Linked DNA regions of Oreochromis niloticus. The main gene of each other region encodes a partner of the protein of the gene in region 2 in a complex. Links are inferred from orthologs where the notes say so. Each region holds a gene or a part of one and is shown on either strand. Other genes may lie near its edges.

Region 1 (7,783 bases), on a different chromosome or scaffold from region 2:
GCGGTCATGAGTTCTCAGAATCGGCTCTTTGACCACAAGAATGACAATACCACGGAACTTAAGTTTGGATAACATCATAGAAAGCTCACGGCTCTCCAACGGGAGATTGAGAGACCAGTGTTGGACTGTTAGAACAGCTTTGAAATTCTTATGAGTTGTTCGCACTAAAGTAAAAACCATCATCATTTCATGCGGAGACCCCTTCGGCGCCAGCTGTGGTCTCAAGACTGGAGCTGTACAACAACACCCTGATTACAGACTGTGTTTAGACTGTTCTTCCCTTTCTATGCAAGGCCACCTGGGTTGGCTGGAAGACTATTTACTTAGCCCGGCAGGGCGAAGGACACTGTCTCAGCTGAACTCTGGACATACACACACACACGCACACAGACATATACACATGCAGATATACACTCATCCCCCCTCCCCTTCCAAACGCCTTCGACGCTTCCAATGCTGACGGTGGATCATGGAGACCAGCGCATAGGCTGCAGGCCCGGATGTACTGTCTACATTGGCTGTCTCTCACCCTTTACCCATCCCTGTTGCTTGTCATGTGTTTCTTTGGTGTATTAAGAGTTTTTTTCATGTGCTATGTGCAGAGGTGTTTTTTTCTGTTCTCAAACTGATCTCCCTGTTGGAGCTCAGTCTGGGGGGAGTTATTTTTTTCTCCTTATCTTTCCTCATGTTGTGCTTTTCCATGCTATACCCCTCTGACCTGTCTTCCCCATGTGATGTTTGTGTAATGTATGTATGGTCGGATGGGTAAGACGGCGCTGGCACGGCTGGCAGCCTTAATCCAATTTCCCTCGGGATGAATAAAGTATAATCAATCAATCTTTTAACATACAATAATTTAATAAGATAATTAAATGAAGATGGAAAATTAAGCAGAAAAACTGCTTACTGGCTCCATCTTATCTTACAAAATATGGCACATACTACACACACACACACACACTTGTACAGACAATAAGAAGCGTGGGGTGACTTCATGGTATGACCATGTCCACTTACATGGATGTGATTTTCTGCTATTGAATTCAGAAAAAACTGAAGTTATTGTGCTCAGCCCTGAAAATCTTAGAAATATAGTATCTAACCAGATACTTACTCTAGATGGCATTACCTTGGCATCCAGTAACACCGTGAGGGACTTTGGAGTCATTTTTGACCAGGATATGTCCTTTAATGCACATATTAAACAAATATGTAGGACTGACTTCGTTCATTTGCGCAACATCTCTAAAATTCAAAATATTCTGTCTCAGAGCAACGCTGAAAAAGTAGTTCATGCATTTATTACTTCTAGGCTAAACTCCTGTTATTCATTATTATCAGGATGTCCTAAAACTACCTGAAAAGTCTTCAGTTGATCTAAAATGCTGCAGCAAGAGTACTGACAGGGACTAGAAAGAGAGATCATATTTCTCCTATATTGACTTCATTTCATTGGCTCCCTGTTAAATCCAGAATTGAATTCAAAATCCACACATACAAGGTCTTGAATAATCAGGCTCCATCTTATCTTAATGACCTTATAGTACCATATCACCCCATTAGAACACCTCGCTCTTGCGCTGCAGGCTTACTTGTTGTTCCCAGAGTATTTAAAAGTAGAAAGGTAGGCAGAGCCTTCGGTTTTCCGGCCCATTTTTTATGGAACCAGCTTCCATAGAACACGTGGACCTCCATCCACATTTGAAATTTGTGACGAGGGGGGAAAATGCGCTGGATCTTCTTTACACAAACATTCCCAGAGTGTACCGAGCAAAGCCCCACCTCCAGCTCGGATACTCAGACCACTTGTCTGTTATGCTAATTCCAGGATACAGAACGCTCGTCAGACACTGCAAACTGGTTCTGAGACAGGTGAGAACCTGGCCTGCAGGAGCAATCTCTGCTCTTCGGGACTATTTTGAGCACACAGACTGGGATATGTTCAGGGAGGCAGCAACAAATGATGACTACACCAACTTGGAGTAGTACACATCATCTGTGACCAGTTACATCAGCAAGTGCATCGATGATATCCAAGATTACACGCCTTAACCAGAAACTGTGGATGACTTCAGAAGTGTGTGAGCTGCTAAAAACACAAGACTCCTTCAGAGCCAGCGACAAGGCGGCCCTGGGAATAGCAAGGGCCAAACTGTCTGGAGTCATCAGTTCAGCGAAGCGAGCACATGGCAGAAGAATCCATGGCCACTTCCCAGACAGCCGCAACACGCGGCACATGTAGCAGGCCATCAAGGCCATCATCAACTACAGGAAGAAGACACCTGGCTGTAATGGTGACGCCTCCCTACCAGATGCACTTAGCAACTTCTATGCATGGTTTGATGCTCAGAATGACGTGCTGGTGAGGAATTTTTGCACAATGCTCAGTCTTTTGGATCAGGCGACCCTGAATCCTCCCTTAGTCATGCTGCAGTAGGTATAGGCTGCTGGGGGATTCCTACAATACATTGAGTATTTCTTCTTCAGTCATCTTTCTCAATTACTATTTGTTAATAGACCTCTCTGCATTAAATCATACTTGTTATTAATCTCTGGTTCTCTTCCACAGTATGTCTTTTAACCTGTCTTCCTTCTCTCACCCCAACCGGTTGCAGCAGATGGCTGACCCTCCCTAAGCCTGGTTCTGCTGAAGGCTTCTTCCTGTTAAAAGGGAGTTTTTCCTTCCCACTGTCACCAGTGGGAAGTGCTTGCTCATAGGGAGTCATATGATTGTAGGGTCTGCCTTACAATATAAAGCGCCTTGAGGGACCTGTTGTGATTTGGCGCTGTATAAATAAAACTGAATTCAACTATGGATGTGAAAAATTCATATTTTGTAGTAGGAAAGTTGCTGCCAGTCAGGCTGAAACAATTATTTAATACGACTTGTACTTTTCACTTGATAAGCTTTTCTTTGAAACCTTCACGTCTGCCTTCCTAACACTCCTCTCAGTGGCTTTAGTCGTCATAGCAACCGGTCCCCGCAGGTGTGCAGTGAAGTCACGTTTTCTCTTTCAGGGTTATTTTATGATACCGCAGTTTTGTCCGTTTCCATATGTATGTAGACCCCATGGAGACGGGTATTCGGCTTACACACGCGTGCTCCCGTGCCGTTCTCTTGAAATCCAACAACGCATAGTTTGGCATAGGCTGAACGCTGATTGGTTGATAAGTGGGCCAAAGCAGACCCGAGAAACACGATCCGTTCTGCCATGTGCTCATGTCCTTACCTTTCACAATAAAAGCCCCTGAGTCCTGAATGCTTTGCAGTTTGACTAGAGCCATCACGCTAAGAAGCTGAATTAAATAGCTTACAAAGGTGAAGAGATTTGCAAGAGATTCTGAGGTATACATAAGAACCACATCATTGATTTAGAGGTATGAAATGAAAGACAGTAAATGATGTAACAGATTGGTGGCAGATGAAAGGGCGTTAAAAGTGGTTATCTTTCTAAAGACAAGAGCAATATTAAATGTCAACACTGAGTAACTGACTGAAATTAATATTTACCACATGTCAGAATAATTTATTAAATAAATTATCTATTTGTTTTTAAGTATTCACTGCTGAGGTTCTGATCAAAATGTTTCAACAGTGACATCTGCTGGCTAGATGGGGTAGGGCAATCCATGTGATTGTGCAGACAAGAAATCAGCAGGACTCTCACCTCTTCAGGATGTGATCTTTTACATTAATATAATGAACTTCCGTTTTTTTCCATGCTAATACTTATTCTAACAGCTGCGAAGGACTGTTAAATTAGGAGAGAATGGATTTTGAAGGGTACATTCATCAGCAAAAAAACGCACTGCTGTGGGAAGGAAAGTGCTGCTTTTGTGGCAGAGCTGCAGGCCTCTTTGCCTTAGCATTGGCACTGGATTTTGATATTGACAATGGAGTGTTTCACTGTTATTTTGGCTGTGTATTGTGATAGTCTATTTTAACCTATTTTAATAGAAACTGCCTATGCATTCAGAAAGACAAAATGAAAGGTTTTTCTACTTTTGAGTGGAAATAGATAATGTACTTACTGTATTAAGTCCTTTCATCCTCATGCTAACCCGTTACTCACATTCTATGCAGCCAGAAGCTACCAGAAAAACATCCATTAATTAGAGATGACCTATTTGTTAACAGTTCAGTTTTTTTCCACTCAGTGTGCAAATGTAATATAAACAGAGAAGCCATGCAAGTTCAGAGTGACCAAAACTCCAGATTCCAGACTCAAACAAAGTAAAATGATAACTTAATAAATGCTGACTTTACTGTTTTAGAAAAGAAAAGCGCATTTAGTCTCACATTTACTTCACTATTTATTTTACTGTAACAAAATTGGCTAAAGGTGTGTTGAGTTTAGGCAATGGAAACCACAGGCATTATGGTTGGTAACCTACTGCTAGCTTTCTGTTTAATTTGTTCTGTTTTAAAACTTGCATCGTTGTATAAAAATGATAATATTTAGGCCTATGTTAAATTCCTTATGATTGTTCTGTCATTTTACACATTTCAACAACAATTAAACAGTTAGTATGTTTAAAAAAATACACTGTCAGGTACTGTTTTTTTTTTTATTTCTCTCCAGTACACTAGAAAGTCATGATAATAGTTCTGGTAAATGTAGGATGTACATAGATTTATTTATTTTTTTAATTTTTTTTTTTTTAATTGATAATATATAGTTAATATTGGGGTGCTGAGGTGGGATTAGCGGGGGGCACCAAATTAAATTCCACTTAAGGCACCATAGAACCTTGGACCGGCTCTGAATTTGGGGTCTAACTAGTTAACAACATTCTTCCCTATACTTCAGCTTCCCCTCGGATGCACCAAGGGGAAACTGAAGTAAACGCCCACTTTTGGGAAGCGGAAGATGGGGATCTTGGGTTTCTTGCTGTAAACTGTAAGCAACCGTCTGAACTCCATTTATTTCGATGGTACATCTGCAGTAATTATGATAACTGTAAACTCCCGAAGAATGCGAAGACAAAGTCAGTGTCGCAGGCATGCGACGCCGGATGGATGGCTTGTCTAAACGTCGAGCCGACATGTGTTGACTATGGCAAACTGGTAAAAGGTAAGGACGTTTTGGCTAGCGTTAGTTACGCCGCTAGCTAACCGCGTTTAACTGCAGCAAACTTTCAGGGCAATATTGCAGGCCCTTAGTGGAGATATCGTTTACCGATACGCAAAATGAACAGTAAGGTTATATAATTCATATCTAGTTTTCGCTGTATTTTGTTTTTCGGCTAAAATTAACGCTGGTCGTGGCGCCATTTGGTGTTGATGTGCGAATATTAAAAACAAAACGCACTTGAATATCCTGTTGTGTAATATTGTGCGTCTTCATAATTGTTGTGTAACGGTTTGCGCTTCCTGTTGCCTGAAATGCGCGTGCATGTGTGTCTGTCTCTAGGTATCCCGCCCATCGCGGTGCTAACCAGCCGGCGTCTCTGCTGCCATGGAGGTGGGCAGCCTCCCCGTGGAGCTGTGGAGGGTTATCTTAGCCTATCTCCCTCTCCCTGACCTGGGCCGCTGCTGCCAGGTGTGCCGTGCCTGGCGGGAGCTCATCCTCTCTCTGGATAACACCCGCTGGAGACAGCTCTGCCTGGGCTGCCCTGAGTGCCGACATCCCAACTGGCCTAGTCAACCTCATCTGGAGCCCCCTTCGTGGAGAGAGGCCCTGAAACAGCATGCCCTTGCCACCCGCACCTGGACTCAAAATGGTCCAGAGCTCCAGTCCTCCGCTTGCCTCCTCTTCTTCCGCCGTCGGAAAGATCGCAGGGTTTGGCACGTGGGGCCGGGATGTGAGTTTGAGACCCTGCGCGGAGCCCTTGGGGTGGTGGGACCTTACGACCGAGTGGTGCTCCATCCAGGGGTGTATGAGGAGCAGGCTGAGGTAGCGCTGAAAGTACCGGTGGAGCTGGTTGGGTTAGGCCGACTAGGCGAGGTGGCCCTCTTAGTGTGTATGGAGCAGCAGTGCCCTACTGCCAGGCTGTGTAATCTGGTGTTCATGCCACCCTGGTTCTCCACGGTTGTCTACAAGGTGAAGTAGCAGCTTGTTTCCTAAGAGTCTCAGAGTCAGATTGGCCTAGTCTATACACTCCTATAAACACAAATTTCTTGAGAAAATAGAATCTAATTATAGTTCTTTGTTTCTTTCTGTCTTGCTCTCCTCTAGACATCCTGGGGACATGTCCAACTAGATAACTGCAACTTTGAGGGAGCTCAGCTGCAAGTCCGCGGGCCAGGAACCTGCCAGGCTCGGTTTTGCTCTTTCTCCCAGGGCAGCTCTGCACACTTGCTGGGAGTTGTCCTGAGTTTATTTGACAGCTGTGACTTCTCAGGAAGTGACACAGCTTCAGTGACTGTGGAAGGTCCCCCGGTCTCAGAAAGGAACTGGGCTTGTAAACATTTGGCAGCTCTGGCTAGGACGTTCCCATCATGTGGCCTATCTGAGCATAATAGTTCTCCCAAAGGACATCCGGCTGCCTCCACTGGTGGACACCAACCTCCAGGTGCTAATGTTAAAAAGGAGAGCATAACCATAGATGACTGGAAGAGGAGAACAGGGGTAGATGGGGTATGTCAGAGGACAGTGATTGAAGATGGCTGGAGTGATGGTGAGCGCAGTGAGGGAGAGGAGAACAGAGACGAGGGGGGGGCCAACAACACCAAAAAGCATTTTACACTGGAGTACAAAATCCCATGTGACCATCATGGCCTATCGCATTTGCTCAACCCCCAGCCAGATGGCTCTCTTCCGCTTTCCTCTTCCCCCGATCCCCCATCCATGATCCCTGACCCTCTCACCCTACAGCAGGAGTTAGACAGGGACCCAGAGGCTCACATGTTGGCAGCATCGACACTTGGCTGCATCCTCAGACGATGCCTCTTCAGGGACGGGAAGGGCGGTGTACATTTGTCCAATTATGGACAAGCTCGACTGGAGGAGAATGTTTTTCGTGGGCTGAACTACGCCGTGCGCTGCATCCAAAACTCCACAGTTAATAATGTTCCTAGTAACTTTGCTTCATACAAATGGCATGAATCTGTGATTGTGTATTGTGTGTATTCGGGAAACATATCAAGTTAAAGTAGCTCGGGTCATTAGTAATTTAACATCAGTGTCCTATTCAAGCTGCTACTTGATCACCTTCCTTTTCTGTCTCTCTCCTGCTTCAGATCGTAATGCTGAGAAACGAGGTCTGCGAATGTCGTGCATCAGGCGTGTTTCTGCGCCTCTCTGCTCAGGGCCTCATAGCAGAAAACAACATCCACTCGAACGGGGAGGCAGGGCTGGATATCCGAAAGGGGGCTAACCCAACCATTGTGGTAAATGCAACACAATTGCTGATTGGATTCCAACTTTTTAAAGATGCAAGCAAACAACAAAAAATTTCCTGTGATAGCATGTCCCAGACCCTTTCAGCAGCATGCCCAGATATCATGGATAAGGAGAATTTTGTTCACTACTCTTCTAACTTACTCAACTTAAGAGCTTAAGATGTTCTTGCGTGCATAAAACAAAAAGAACCAGAGTATGAATATTTATAATTTCCAGAAATGATCTATTCAGGCTTTCCAGATGAAACTAATTTCCTCAGTCTCTTTATCCACTATCAACTATTAATCCACAGTGCAACAAAATACACAGTGGTTTGCGCTCTGGGGTTGTTGTCCTTGGCAATGGAAAAGGTTCAATTCGAAGCAATCAGATTTACAACAACAAAGAAGCTGGGGTATATATTCTCTTCAGTGGAAATCCCGTGGTAAGGTAGGTTG
Region 2 (7,306 bases):
AGAAAAACACTTTTCTTCATGTTCATGCTTGCTGATCAGGTAACACCTGCTGTAAAGGTTTAGATTGTGATCAGTTTCAAGTCAAACCTTGTTCTTTAATGTACGTCTGCGTTAACTTAACCCTTCTGAAACCCCGGTTTACAGTTCATGCAGATCTACATTCAGTCACAAATGTGAAACAAACTCTTCGCCTTTTCGCTGTATTTTTCACGACTCTAATAAACGTTTCCTCATTTCAGTACCTCAAACACTTCATTTAATGGTAAAACCGGTTGATACCAGCATGAAAAGCAAATCAAGCAAAGGTTTGATTCACAGGTGAACTCAACTGCAAGGAGCCGGCCAATCAGTGTGCTCGACGTACTTTTTAAACTCAGGCCATCAAGTTCTGTTGAACCTGCACGTGCTGAACAAAAGTGTAGAAACAAGATGACGTGAACCATCAGACACGCATTTCAGCTTTCAGCTTTTACATTTGAGCAAAAGGGCCAGTAAAAACAGCAGGACAGTAACAGGTTCAACAAAGGTGTAAATATAACTGCTCTTTGGCATCTTTGTGTGTTTAGACTCTGAAGACGGTAAAACAGATGATGGTGAATACCTTTAATGTCTTTGGCCCACTATAATAAAAGCCTTTTGTCACCTGTTGGCCTTATAATCAGTTTTCTTTTTTAATAACAAATAGGTGACGCCTCACTTATGAGGACAAAAGTGTACATGAAAATCCAATAATTAACACTGTCCTTCAAAATAAAAGCCCTGATAAAGAAAACTAGCAGGCGTTAAACCCTGAGGAGAAACTTCTCTCTTTAAAACTCATCTGAACTGCAGCATTTTAAAACACTGTGGGAGAATCAGCTTTAAAATCAATATAAGGACAAACTCAAAGAAGGAGAAAGCACAGGTAATAAGGTGACTCTGATTACACAATTTTGAGCTGATTATTTCACAATTACATACTGCCGAAGATGCAGATTTATGCAACAAAGTTTAAAACTTGGACTTTACCATAATTTGAGTCTATTTCGACACCTAAAAACACATATTTAAACACTTCATGCCATTGTGGGGGGAAAAAAGTGCCCTACAGCGCTTCATTTAAACAGCAATGCCCTCACTTCTTTATGTTTTTCTCCCTGAGGAGCAAAACTTTCTGCTGGAATATTTCTCCAGCTTTCTGAAGGTCTGTCAAAGTTTTTCTTTGGACTTTAGCTGCTTTTTCACTCTGTTTCAGGCCAGTTTCAGAGGGAAAAAACTATCACTTTTTCTGATTTGTTTAGCTGAATATATTTAATAAAAATGCAGAAGACATTTCTTGCACTATTAGCCAAAGTCTTGGCATTTCTTGACATGTTGTACAGTGAGCCCTCAAAGAAAGAAAGAAAAATGTATCAATCCGAATTTAAAATTTCTGTTTGTCAATATGTACTGAGGTGAGGAGAGCAGCACACCAGTGAGTGTCTACAGCCACTGGGGGCCCTATCATGCTTCATCCAGTGGTGTATCAATGGTCAGAATTATAAACAGTGATGTTTAGATTATGAGTCACCATACAATACCATGGTTACTCATGAGAGCAATGAGCCCACACACACACTGTCCGTGTAGCAAAGACATATATGAATAGAAAACAGACAACTGACGACTGTCAGTTATGGATTCACCTCCACAGAGCCCCACAGCACTGAAGCACTGTGGGATCATGTTGACGGACCAGAACAAAAGACAAACATCCAAAGAAAAGCTTTGAATGTCTGAAGCCTGGAGGACTTTTTAAAGAGTGCTCAGATAACATGGCTCAAACTCCTTAGACTTGTAAAAACTCGGATTTTGCTTTATTTATATTTTAATTTTTTATAAATCGCTGCACATATTTCCCATTACTCCAGAAAAACACAAAGGAGTGAGGTGTAACTCAACTCAAGACTTTTGCTCTATATTGTCCTGTATACTGACAAATACTAGGACTCCATAAAAGGGAAGAAATAATAAGTGAACTAAAGTAAAGAGTTAGAATCCTGTGCAATAGTCATTGACTCTTAATATCTCGTTTTAACGATCAGGGTCTAAAATAAGTGCACTATTTAAATTAAGGAGAACTGTAAGGACGTATATCCAGGAATCTCGATTAGTATGAAAACAGACGTTTTCCAACAGCTGCTTCCCTCTGGCAGCTCAGTGTCAGCAGTACCTCTGACTTCGAGCTTCTCCTAATATCTTAGGAAATGAGCGACCGTATCGCTGCTCCGCTTCACCAGTTGTTCCAGGAGTGTGTCCTGTTCGAATGACCAGACCGCACCGCACCACACGGTTCACAGGGATGTGCTCGAAAAAAGCCTACCCCCGACGGATACTTGGACATATTTGGAATATAATGATCCCCAGTATCTGTTAATTTGGAAAATATTCACTGTGATTATTCCCCGGAATGGAGTCAGGCGCTGCTACGCAATACTGCTAGCTCCCATTAGCCTCTGAGGCTCGATTAGCCTGGTAGCTCCGTCTGCTGCCCGAACGCTGGATGGACCAGCTTCAAATCAAAGCACAGCCTCTATGTGACCCACATTTATCAATCGCTTACACACATGTGTGGTACTGGGACTGTATTCAACATAAAGGCTGTCTTCTTACAGTCAAAGGCAGAGGCCAGGACAGACTAACAGCCTGGTGTAAAATGGCAGCCTAGCTCCTCGAGCTTCTCAATAATGAGTCAGGAAAACAGTTCGCTAACCGCCTAGCATTAGCGTGCTGGCTCTCCGCTTAACAGGCTGAGAGAAAAAAAAATCTTCCCCGGCCCAGCTCTAAAATGTCACCTTACCATTTTAAAGCAGTCCCAGTCACTTTGTAATCGCCGGATGAGTTGTTTTCAGGCCAAAAATCGGTGTCCCGCTGCCGTCTCTGAGTGTGTTTGCTGTCGGTGGCTAACTACGACTGCTGCGCTGCTTCGTTCGCACAAAGATCAGCTCACAGCGCCGCGGCCACTGACTGCAGTTGCCTTCAGGCTCCCTCGGAAATACGCACAGCACCGCCGACACACGCATGCACTCTTTATTATTAAAGAATAGGAGGGCTACAAAATACGGACGTTTGTTTCTGCCACTGAAAAAAAAACATACCAGACAGAGGTGAGACAAAATTTAAACCAACTGCCTCAAAGTTGAACTTTTAAAATAATGACTTACATTTTTGACTTAACTCTGCCTGGCATTTTTTTCTGTAACTGAAAAAATACTTCATAAATAACATTGTGAAAATAATATTGGAAGTTTTTTCTTTCTTTCAAGTTTTCCATTCGGAGAAACAAGTCCAGAATATTCCAAAATGAAGTGAAAATACTATTCCAGATGAAATACTAATAATACAGTCTAAATAAAATCCAAATACTGACAGTAAAGTTGAAATGCTTATGATTTACCCCCTGATTATTTGGATAGATGTGTATCAGTGGTTTTGTATGCAATACTAGTTAAATTGTGAAATACTTCTCTGTATCTGCAGTTACAACATCTGGAGTTCCACAAGGATCTATGTTGGGGGACTGTTTTGTTGTTGTTGTTGTTGTTTTTGCTTTTAACATTCATCCTTCCTGTCAGTAAGCCTGGTGAACTCAGACCCAGGACCCTCTTGCTGCAAGGCAACGCTGCTAACTACTTTTAACCAATTTTAAATTTGACAAACAAATAGGTGCTGAGGTTGAGAACACTTTGTTCTAACGCTAACATTCCCCAAACATGTGGGGAAAACATGCCTGTTACAGGCTGAACACCTGTTTTGTCAAACATTTACCACCTGCTGATCTCTGAAACTGTCGCTCATGGACAGTTTGTTGTTGTGTGTTTTTTAATGCAAGTAGTGTGACTATGTGTTACAGGTGGGGGGATCGATCCAGATATTGATAGTATCAATACCATACTGGTACTGGTATTGGATCCATACTTTGTTTCTGTCCTGTAAGGTCAGCATGTAGCGCACTGAATTGTGTTCATTTGTGTTAAATAAATCAGTATTGGTATCAGCAATACTGGCCCTGTATTTATTTGGTATCATATCAATACCAAAATTTGCAGCATATCCCAGCACTACCATGTGTAGACAGAACCTGAGAAACATTCTGTTTTTCTCTCTCTAATATAAAGTGCATTAATTTAAATTTATTATGTAAATAATATTAACTTACTTACTAAGAATAAACTCAAGCTATAATTATGAGACTCAGATTTGCAAAAGAACAAACAAAGAATAAAACCTAAACTATTCACCAGGCCGGTGTATTTCAGGCGCTAATGGAGATATCTTTAGCTTACTTTGTAAAACCCATAACAATAAAAACACAGAACAGAGGTCAATCGCAGGTCAGGTCTTTTTCAACAATATCAGAGATTACAAATCGTTTATGAAAGACCCTTTGTTGATTTTATTTAATACTCTTGTTAATTTATTAATTTAATTCATTCATAAAGCTACACAAAAATTACACAAAATTACATAACTGAATATGCATTGTTTAAATTTAATGAAAAACCCAATTTCCATGTTTTGAGAACCAAAACTTGTGCTCAGACTTTGTGTTTACAGTCTATTAATGGTACTTATTGTAAATAACTGTGTTTAATGTAAAGAAACAACTGATTTTAGTTTGTGCTGAACTTCAGTAGAGCTAAGCCTGTAGTTATGATCATTAACAGTTAGAGCCCCTCCTCATCATTTTCTTCCTCTTCTTTGGTGCAACCCTATAAATACAGTGTACCCCTTTGGCCTCTCCCCTTTCCTACGATTCCCCTGTGGGAGAAGTTGGTGTCCTTTCTTTTCCAACACTGTACAACACACATATACAGTATATTTAGCCACCCTGATGTTTCTGATTATGTTTTTAGTTCAATTATTGTCATCACAGCTGTGGTGGGTTGAGCTAACCCTCTTCCCAGGAGCTGGAGCGGGCAAGTTAATGACTTTGAGGTCTTTGTTTCTTTTTACCTTTCATTGTCAGACACAACATAACATACCTTCACACCGTGTACATTGTAACATACCTGTAATAGATCCATATTTGGTAATATATCTATATTATTGCCAAAGCACTTTCTGGATGGATGCAAACTGCATTTCGTTGCCTGGTACTGGTAACATGTGCAATGACAATAAAGTTGAATTCTAATTCTAACAACGCAGGAACACACCGGTCACATATACATGTGATTTTACAGTATGTTTTGGGGTTTTTAAAACCTTTTTTGCATGCATGTTTGATTTATATTACTGTTCCCACAGCTTGGTTAAGCTTAACATTGAGTCTTTTTTCAAATTAAACATTAATCTGTGCTCTACAGCAGAAAACAGGGTAAAGACAGCAGAACTGCGAGTGCTACATGTACGATACTTTATTTGCAGTTTTTGGAAATGCGCTTGTTCAGCATGTGGCTCAAATATAACAAAGATCCAAACCCTAAATGACTTTAATTTAAATGATTTCAAACATGCATGTGTAGGCTTATCATTCAAATCTGATAAAAAACAGTTTGAAACACTGGTGTTTTTATCCAAAAATCAAATTTTCAAAGATTTTATTGATTTAAAGTTAATATTCTTTGTCTTGTCTTTATATAATAGTTTTTACTTTAATTACATTCCTTATATTTTGTCATTAAAATAACCAGAAATTAGAATTTTTTAATACTGGAAAAACAAACACAAAGAAACAAAAACATTCTAACACTGAAATGTCTGAGCTTCCCTGGATCCCCTGAATGCTACACCTGCTCCACAAAGTGGCCTCCCTATAAGGACTACAATCATGGCCTCACAGCTGCTTCCCTACAGCTGTCACGCATGCGCAAAGGTGGGTTTTAGTTGCCATATGACACATTTCAATTATGCATGCGTGATACAGAAGCACGATGCTGACATTTAGCTTCCTGGCCTTTAATGTGTGTATGTGAAGGTTATGCAAAGAATTCAAATGGCTCCTTTGACTTGCATTTGACTCATTCTAATGAAACATTACAAAAATAACCACAGTCCTCAGGTTCACTGTGTCTGTGCTTCTCACTGTGCTGTGATCGTTCTACATGAAGGTGTTTTGCTACAGGAATCTGAATGCTCTCCAGTCACCTTTCCTCTTTGTGCAGTGTGATGGTCAATCATCACCGTCTACCCACCCTGTGCACCGCCACAGCCTCTGAAACAGGCAGAACACGACCTCTGCTGGCATGGGAGGAAACACAAGCTTGGATTCTAGCAAGGAAGCATCCTCATCAAAGTCAAAGGGAAGGTGAATCCTCCCCGACGATCTCCGCTGCTGCTCCTGCTTCACTTTATCAGTAAATCCTGAGACCCAGGAGGTAAATTAAAGCTTCAGGTGTCACTGATTCTTTACATGTGTGCATAGATGTATAAAGTTTTACAAAATCTAAAGAAACAATCTCCCTCTCACCTCCAGGTGGTGTTGTGTGTGTCTTCTCCAAGCTTGTATCAACTACCACCTGACAATTTGAGCTTTTCATGTTTCCATAGCAGCCGGATGTTGGAGATTTCTAGTGCAGCTGGGCTGCAGGTAACTGTAACTGTTAGTTTATAAAAGATTTAAAATATTCTAAATAGAAATAATCACTGGCCAGATTCAGCAACCAGGGGCTCCAGCCCAGACCGCTGCCTGATCCACAAAGCACCAAACCCCTACGACCCCTCCTGTGGGTGGAAATCAGAAATCCGGACATGCCTCAAACACCTCGTAGGTGAGGCATTCCCGGTCTTACCTCTGAAACGTCATTGAAGGCAGTTTCAGAGTCGTGGAATAACACCGGAAAACTTTGCGATCTTCATCTTGAAGATGAGTTTTTCCAAATGTCAAAGAGCACGAGCGCTGCTTTCCACACTGAGCTGTGATGCCTCAGACAGAAACCAACTGCTTTAACATTTATTGTAAATATTAAGTGAACATTTTTATTGTTATTGCGTCACAACTTATGACTGACTCTCCTCTCTGCTGCGGGTGGCCACAGCCCGTTTATGTCAGTCCTGCTCTGCTGTCTTTGAATTATGTAAGAATGGAGAGTGGCGTGATGTGTTCACAGGCCACACCTCACAGTCGGTCAGAAGTGAAACGACTTTCATAATTAAGAAGTGTTACGTGAAGTCTGTTTGTTGCAGCAAACATTTTTATTTCCGGTGTTTGCAGCTTGAACACACGGACTCAGTCTGTTGGACACAGCTGCAGATTTAATGAAAACTACAAATAAAATAAAAACAAAGGTAAAGAAAATACAACAGAATCCTGCATAGAAAAGTGAATCTAACCAAACACATTCAA
Region 3 (7,942 bases), on a different chromosome or scaffold from region 2:
AAATCCTCCTGCATCAAGAACAACCATCATCAGTTCTTGACATGTGATTGAAGACACTGGACAATGCCAGTAGTGCATTTTTTTAATGAAACTGTACTATTTGCAAGGCCAGTGATTCTAACCTCTCCCAAGTTTTTGGCAATATGGTCAGGTCAATGTCTAGCCTTGAAATAAATAACAGACTTGGGAATGCTGGGACTGAAATATTTGTTACGGATAAAACTCTTCTTGCTGCAATTTGTCTATCCACAACAGTAATGTAACTTAACAGTAGACGACTGGGGAAAAAAATCAATGTAATGATGAATCCAAGTGAGAGATTTCTGTCTGTAACATAATTTGTCTGTAGCAAATTAGACGTGTTGTCTTATTTGTCAAAGTTTTGCAAGAACTACTTGAAAACTATATAAGACTACGAATAAAGAGTGCTGGCTGACATCAACTTTTTCCTCCACAGTCATTGGACCTCAGCCATGCTGAACATTTAACTGCAAAGGCCAAGCATTCACTGATTTCTCAAGAAGATGTTTGGAACACTTTCAGATCGTACCAGGAAAACATGCCTTATCGGTTTCTGCACAAACTTGCCGCGTGCACTTTCAGTTTGAGTGATGTTATTAAAGCCAAGACAGTTGAGGGAAGAGCAGAGAGGGGTGTGTTAAGCTGATAAAGTCATTGTAATGTACTATTTGTCAATCAAGTTGAATTCAAATGAAAAAAAGAAGCAACAGAAACTCATTTAGTCATCTTAGAGTTTGGAGCTGATTGTATATAGACTCCATGTGTGATTACAGCAGTGACGTGGGATGAAACACACTTTCAGGCAGGCACCTAACTAGATGTGAATGATTTTCGGCTTATGGCTGAAGTCAATCGTTTGCTGAGCTCCTGCAAGCTGAAGGAGCCAGTTAATGGGCATGTGGTCCAGGCGGTTCATGTCAAGATGGGAAAAATGAACTTTAGAGCCTGTAGAGAGGGAGAAAACAGTGAGTGTGAGGAAAAAAGATATAATGCAGTGCCAACATTAACACATAACATCATATATATATATATACATATATATGTGTGTGTGTGTGTGTGTGTGTGTGTGTGTGTGTATAGGGAGAGAGAGAGAGAGCGAGACCAACTTACCAGGTCCTGCAATGATGGCTCCACCTTGTTGATGTAGGTCACCCTGAAAATCAAATGCAGGACTAGTCATGGCTCTCCATATAGTCTTGATTTGGCCCATAAAAATGCCAGACTTCACATGGGGACTAGGCTGCGCTGAGTTCACAAACACAGATACAAAGACGAAGTTTCATTATCATCTCAAAATAAGCTTACTCATACACTCCAATAGTGTTTTTGCATACCAGAGTCTGTGAATGTCTCCTCTCTCTTCATCCCCAGCTTTTGGTAAATGCGCCTCCCTGGGTCCACATATATTTCATAAGGATACCCCGTGAGCAAGCAGAACGACTACATGACAGAACAAGGAGAAAGAGTACATTTGTCTGGAAAACTATAGTGCCTGCTGTGATATTTATATACACTCATCAGACACTGTAATAGGTACCACTCGCAAGTACTGAGTTAGACCTTAATTCTTTGTGGCATACATTCAACAGAGATTTTGGTTCATATTGAACTGATAGCATCACACAGTTGGTGCAGCTTTGATGGCTGCACATCCATTATGCCAAAGACGTTCTACTGGATTGTAGTAGTGGAAATTCTTATATAGTGAATAGTGAATTCTTTCTCTTCCTTGAACTAGTTTTGATTATTGATGATTTGATGTGTTATCCTGCTGGAAATAGCCATCAGAAGATGCAAATACTGTAGTCAGAAAGGGATGGACGTGGTCGGGATCAATACTCGGGAAGGTTGTGGAGTTTAAATCACACTCAATTGGTTCCAAGTGGCCCAAGGTGTACCAAGAAAATATGCCCTCCACCATTATACCACCAGCAGCCTGAACAGTTCAGAATCAATCCACGCTTTCATTCTTTTTTTACTTCAGATCCTATCATCTGAATGTTGAAGCAGAACTGGAGACTCATGAGACCAGAATGCATTTTTCCAGACCTCTATTGTCCAATTTTGGTGAGCCTGTGCAAACTGCAGCCTCAGTTTCCTGTACTTAGCTGACAGGAGTGGCTCTAGGTGTGGTCTTTTGCATATTTTGGTTCTAACAAGTGGTTATTTCAGTTACTCGTGCCTTCTTATCAGCTCGAAGCAGTCTGGACATTCTCCTCTTACTTTTCACACAGACAACTGGTGCTCACTGGATATTTTCCCCTTTTTTTTCAACCATTCTCTGTAAACCTTAGAGATAGCACTGTGGCAAAATTCCAATAGAGCGCCCACATGTCAAAACCAGACTCAATTAAATCACCTTTCTTCAAAACTTCAGCGAGTTGTTTTGACCATGTCTGCATGCATAAATGCACTGAGTTGCTGCCATGTGGTTGGCTGATCAGGTATTTGCTTTAACAAGCAGCTGAACAGGTGTCCTAACAAAGTGTCCAGTGAGTGTATATATAACAAAATAATTACCTCTATGTGATGATAAGCAGACTGACCGATCACGACCAGTCTAATTTCAGCATCCTGCAACAACACACACGGAATTTTGGATTTGTCATGATCAATTATTTATGTTAATACTCATCAGACCTCCTATTGTTTTAACCGAGCACCTTTGCTGCCAGTGTCGCAGCTATGCTCTTTGTTTTCACAGCCTCGAGTGCACTGGTCCTTACTAAACAAGACTTACCTCCAGTACTTCTCTGGGTATTTTTCCCAAATCATCAACATACTCTTTACAGCTGTAGCACAAGAAATTCTGCAGGGACACATATTAAATAAAATGTTAAAAGGCTGTAGTGATGAGAGAGAGATCACTGCATTTAAAAATTCACATCTTGCGCCTATATAACATGTATCCCTCTGGCTTCACCTATGGAGAACGATCTCTTCATTCGTCCATTTCCAACATAGCACAGGAAATTCTTGGAGCATCTGGCCAGCTACACCTGGGCTCACCTGGTACCTACTTTGAAGCCTATCAAGACCCATTTAAAAGCGCAACTTAAGGGAGGGTGCTTATGCGAACCCATAACTCATCAGCAAAGTTAAGCCAAATGAAGTTTTCCCTACCCGCACAAAAATTATGACCGATTTCCTGTCTTGGTATAGGGTCTTGAACGGAATAGAAACTCCATGCCGGTCGTAAATTAAACAGTCTTCGACGTCTCTGAGATTAATATCCACAAAACAGGTCACATTTTCCTGGCTTCCTTTAGTTACTTGTCGAGTTATTGGTGAAACTACTTCAGCCATTTTTTTTCCTCAGAGGATCCAGAATTCGCAGTGCTGCTATTTTGGGAGTTGCCATTCAGCCTGGAGGAGCTGGTGCCTGGAAAATTCACGCCCATATGCTCCCTCTCTCTCTCTCTCGCTCTCTCTCTAGGAGAACGAAGACAGACGGCCAACACATATTCATTGGTTAAACATTGCAATGTTTAACCATTGGTTAACCATTGGTTAAACATTGCAATGTTTAACCAATGGTTAATATTATCTTACTCTCCGGATTTAGTGTATAAACAAGGCAATACAAACAGAAACTGACCGGTGCGTCAGTGCGTCAGTGCGCACGCTGTGACTTCACAATAACAGTTAGCAACATTTATTTATATATATTTCAGCTCATATTTCAGTGAACAACATTGCCATGGGAATTTACAATGAAGGACAGTTTGAACTGTACATCCAGATTATTATCTCTCTCTCTCTCTCTCTCTATATATATATTAATTTTATGCAGTAGACGTACTGTACAGTTCGGTACTGTAGACAATTACATGTGCTATGTATATTGTCGTTAACAGTCTCTCATTCTGTGTTATGTTTATAAATTATAATTTTATGCCCTGATTCTCTCTCCCCAAAGTGTTTTTTTTTTTCTGAGCTCCGCGCAAGACCAAGTTGGCTGCAGTATACTGTAGTTGCTGCAGAAAACCCAGTTAAGTTACATACAACTGTAGATTTTATCCTATTTGTGACTTTTAAGTTTTACATTTCATACTTTAGTCTAATAGTGCTTGGTGGTCTACTTGATGTGTTTAATGCATGAAACGTTTGGAATATAAACAATGAGTTACATGAATATTTAAATAAATGAAATGAACTTCTGATTAACTTTGATTTATTTTGGCAGTATGTCTATATTTTATGCTTGTTTTATGTTGGATGCATTCTTTGAATTCGCATAATATGCAGCGTGTGTAGACACTTGGCAGCTTCAGTACAACCAAACCTACAGGTGGAGCTACTTCATTTACAATATCAACTATTATGTTCACGAATAAAATCTGATTATTTTTTGGGAGTGACCAGAATGGACAGGATTAGAAATTAGTGCACCAGAGGGACTGCTCATATCCAGTGCTTGATGATTTAGACAGGCAAGGCTGAGGTGGTTTGGACATTTGAAGAGGAGCGGTAGTGGACAAAAGGTGCTAAATGTGTAGCTGTCAGGGAAGAGGAAGACCAGTAAATAAATTAACTGCAAGAGTAAAGGTGTTAAGACTAGAAATTTATAAGGTAGGTAGTGTTTTCTGTAGCAACCACTGTCAGTAGCTTATTTTGGGGCGGTTGTCCAGTTTTCCTATGGTTAATAAATTAAAAGTTTGCTACTTTTGTTTAAATAAATAATCTAAACACGATACAAAATGATTCCCATTAGGAGACAATAGCTTAATATTTTGACCCTGTGTTTTCTAAGTCAGTTTTCAAGGCTGTATTTACTTATCATTAAACAACAACAACAACAACAAAAAATCAATCCCATGATTGGTTCTTCTCTATCCCCCAAATCCTGGGAACAGGATTTTCATTGATGGCGAATTACGAATCGCCCTCGTCGGCTTCCTTCCCGCTGCCCTCTCGGTGCGGAAGTGCTGTCCTCAAGAGCAACAGCAGCAGCAGCAGAGGTACAACCAGAGCTGCTACTGTTTTGGAAGAGCAGAACGGCGATTTAGTGGCCGGTTTTCCTGCGCCCGCGTCTCTCCTGTCGGGGCTCGTCACCGTTCATCTTGACCGTGGAGCTTAGCAGTATTATGCGAGCGCAGTGCGGAGTGTGGGAGCACCGTGTGAAGTGGTGAGAGATGATTGCTTTTGGGGCTATAGCTAACTTAGCATCTGGGGATGGAGCAGGCTAGCCTGACAGAAAACTGCGAAGCAATCTCGTCTTTCTTTCCCTCAAAAACAACGTTAAGTTCGTGTGAATGTTGAAGACAAATGTGCGGCAATTCCAGGCAAACCGCAGGTGTCACGTTAAGTCTGCTTTGGCGTTTCTACATGCTAAACAAATGACCACCTGTTCACTGTTTACATCTCTGTGTTTTGATTCAGCAGCCACCAACCGGTGCTGCACCGCTGCAGTTATCCGACGAGATTTTTCACGTCCTCAACAAATATGGATCATTAAAAACCAAACAAAACAGAAACAACCCCAAACCCCCAAAACATTTTTCAAATTATGCACAGCGTCCACGTCTGAATCTTTTCCATCGTAGGGAAGCACGGGTGCAAAGCTTGCTGCTCTTTGTTGTGTGCTGCGCTGAGATTTAGGCTTTACTCTTAAATTGTGAGTGTTTTTAACAAATAACATCAGTATTTCATTGCAGTACTGTGTTGTTGGGCTCTCCGGTGCTGAGTTTAATGACACATGTGGTTGCTGTGAGTCTTGTCCATCGTCATGTCTGTGTCAGCAGAAAGGACTGTCCTGATTGTTGTTGACATACAGGATCAGGCTCAGATTTTTCTTTTCTTTTTGTGTGGAAATCTGTGCTCACGTGCTGTTATTTACACGAGCCCACCATGATCACAAATGCATCCTTACTTCCAGATTAAGTTAATCTCACTCTCCACCCCGTGTGTGTGTCAGACAACTCTAGCGTTATCTTGTAAAGTTCCCATCTTTTGTTAAGCATTCTTTCACTGCAGCTATGAAAAACAGCCTTGAAAACATTGCAGCTTTGAAGGATGGGCATTAGATTTTCCTACTAAAGGTTCATGTTGACTTTGCCTTTAGGGAAAAGAGGAACATTAAAGAAGCTAATAAAATGACAGGCTTAATAAAGCACGAAAAAAGCCTCATTAAAAAAGGAGATAATGATAATGATAGCTGTTAGTGATCCTGCAATTTTCCCATATTATTTTATTTATGCGGGGCAAAACATTGTTAGCAAAAAGACATTTTCTGTAAATTGATGAGATACATCTTTACTCATAAAATTGTATTAAAAGTATTATATGTACAGCAATGTTTTGAATAGTCATTTTAAGGAAAAGAAAGGATATCTTTTGTTCTCTTAATTATACAGGGGCTAAATAATTAGCCTAAGCTATTTTTATGTAATGACTACAATAAATTCGTAGTACTGAGGATGGAAACTATCAAGTTCTTTTTTCATTGAATAGTTTTTTTCTGCATTGTGTATTTTTTGACGCCAAGTCTTAACACTCAACTTTCATAGAATTTTCATATCATAATAAACTAGCATCCTTCGCTCTCACAACAGCCTTGTTCACGACACCCATCAACCTCCTCTGAGGTCTTTCTCTTTTCCTCCTGCCTGGCAGCTCCATATTTAACATCTTTTGTCCATTATATCCACTAACCCTGTGCTGCACATGTCCAAACCATCTCAGCCTTGCTTCTCTAACTTTGCCTCCAAACTGCTTGCCTTGAGCTGACCTTCTGATATGCTGATTTGTAATCTTGTTCATCCTGGTCACTGCCAATGAAAATCTGAGCATCTTCCACTCTGTCACCTTCAGCTCGGCCTCCTGTTAGTGCTGAAACATATAATATATATATTTCCAATCATTTTTTTCTGTTGTTCCAGAGTTTCCTTGAATCATCTATATGGGCCATCTTTTTTCGAAAAATGGTTATCGCCTGAAGAAGAGGACACGCAAGTTGCATCACAGGAAGAAGAAGAAGAGGAACTGTTTTCTGCACGGGCCCTGCATGCTCTGCTTTATCGTCCACGGCAACAGCGGTGGTTTCGACGACGAGAGCGACCACTTCGAGGCCAACGGGTGTCGACACAACAGCATCACGGGAATCAGCGTCCCAGGTGTTGGCGGAGTCGGCATCGGAGCGGCAGCTGCCACGAAGCTTGCGGAGCGATACGCAACTCTCGCATCTCCGGAGGATTGCTCCAAGTTCTTGTTGTCACCGAGGGAACTTGCTATCTGGGAGGGCCAGGGGAGGAGCCTTTTGTCAGCTGTTCCTGCCAAACTAATTCCACCACCGGCCCTCTTCCGTACCGCTGGTGTGTCTGTGACTGTGCCCATACCTGTGCCTGTGCCTGGCTGCACCAGCGATTACACAGAGATGGTAGGCATCCGGTTCGGAGCATTAATTCCTAATTAATATAGGCTTTTAATAAGTTTCAAATAACTGTATTGGATATTTATTTACATTTAACAGTGCCTCAACGTTTTTAGTAACAGGGCTATAAGCTACAGATTACACATGAGAAATGTTTATAGGTGCTTTAAACTTGCTTAAAAAATGATATTATGCAGTTAGAAAGGTAAACTTTGACTTTTCTTTGTCCTTAAATATCTCTTAAGTCAAAGCTGTATTCTTTCTAGTCCTTCTTTTATTTTGTTCTTATTGAGGATCCAAACTCAGGGGTGTTGTTCTCATAAATTTCTGTCTGTAATTGTAACTAAATCTGCCTGAAAATCTGATACCAAGTGACCTCTGTGTGTGTGTGTGTGTGTGTGTGTGTGTCCGATTGCAGGTGTGTAAGAGGAAGTGCTCAGAGGTGCAAAGGTGCACCCCTTGTAAGCAGCCGCGCTGTGCCTTCGCTGCTCCTGATGGAGGGCTGGAGAATGGAGGTGGGGGGGAGGCGGCCTCGAACTCTGAAACGGG

Evidence for each region. Proteins that work in one complex are often made in the same cells at the same time.
Region 1: cullin-1 (region 2) and fbxo10 share a complex: the UniProt entries of both Homo sapiens proteins name them as parts of the SCF(FBXO10) complex. The link is inferred for Oreochromis niloticus from reciprocal best matches to the Homo sapiens genes CUL1 and FBXO10.
Region 3: the proteins of cullin-1 (region 2) and fbxl17 are in contact, whole or in part, in a cryo-EM structure (PDB 8UBT), measured with the Homo sapiens proteins. The link is inferred for Oreochromis niloticus from reciprocal best matches to the Homo sapiens genes CUL1 and FBXL17. Residues at the interface, in NP_001357589.1 of Homo sapiens: Thr54, His143, Arg147, Asp150, Glu151; in NP_001156787.2 of Homo sapiens: Pro325, Ser327, Leu330, Asp358, Phe359, Gln360, Asn387.

What each region holds. Positions count from the first base shown.
Region 1 is NC_031971.2:22,576,805-22,584,587, reverse strand, and holds the start of fbxo10 (F-box only protein 10), read left to right. Parts: upstream 1-4,771; 5' UTR 4,772-5,075; intron 5,076-5,414; 5' UTR 5,415-5,459; coding exon 5,460-6,044; intron 6,045-6,179; coding exon 6,180-7,004; intron 7,005-7,183; coding exon 7,184-7,333; intron 7,334-7,638; coding exon 7,639-7,775; intron 7,776-7,783. UniProt on the Homo sapiens protein: Substrate-recognition component of the SCF (SKP1-CUL1-F-box protein)-type E3 ubiquitin ligase complex. Mediates the ubiquitination and degradation of BCL2, an antiapoptotic protein, thereby playing a role in apoptosis by controlling the stability of BCL2.
Region 2 is NC_031974.2:2,231,113-2,238,418, reverse strand, and holds the start of cullin-1, read right to left. Parts: upstream 3,006-7,306; 5' UTR 2,819-3,005; intron 1-2,818. UniProt on the Homo sapiens protein: Core component of multiple cullin-RING-based SCF (SKP1-CUL1-F-box protein) E3 ubiquitin-protein ligase complexes, which mediate the ubiquitination of proteins involved in cell cycle progression, signal transduction and transcription.
Region 3 is NC_031977.2:23,971,797-23,979,738, reverse strand, and holds the start of fbxl17 (F-box/LRR-repeat protein 17), read left to right. Parts: upstream 1-4,930; 5' UTR 4,931-5,149; intron 5,150-6,902; 5' UTR 6,903-6,922; coding exon 6,923-7,399; intron 7,400-7,811; coding exon 7,812-7,942. Other genes in the region: prxl2c (thioredoxin-like protein AAED1), read right to left, coding at 836-966, 1,132-1,266, 1,356-1,461, 2,542-2,595, 2,762-2,830, 3,145-3,327. UniProt on the Homo sapiens protein: Substrate-recognition component of the SCF(FBXL17) E3 ubiquitin ligase complex, a key component of a quality control pathway required to ensure functional dimerization of BTB domain-containing proteins (dimerization quality control, DQC).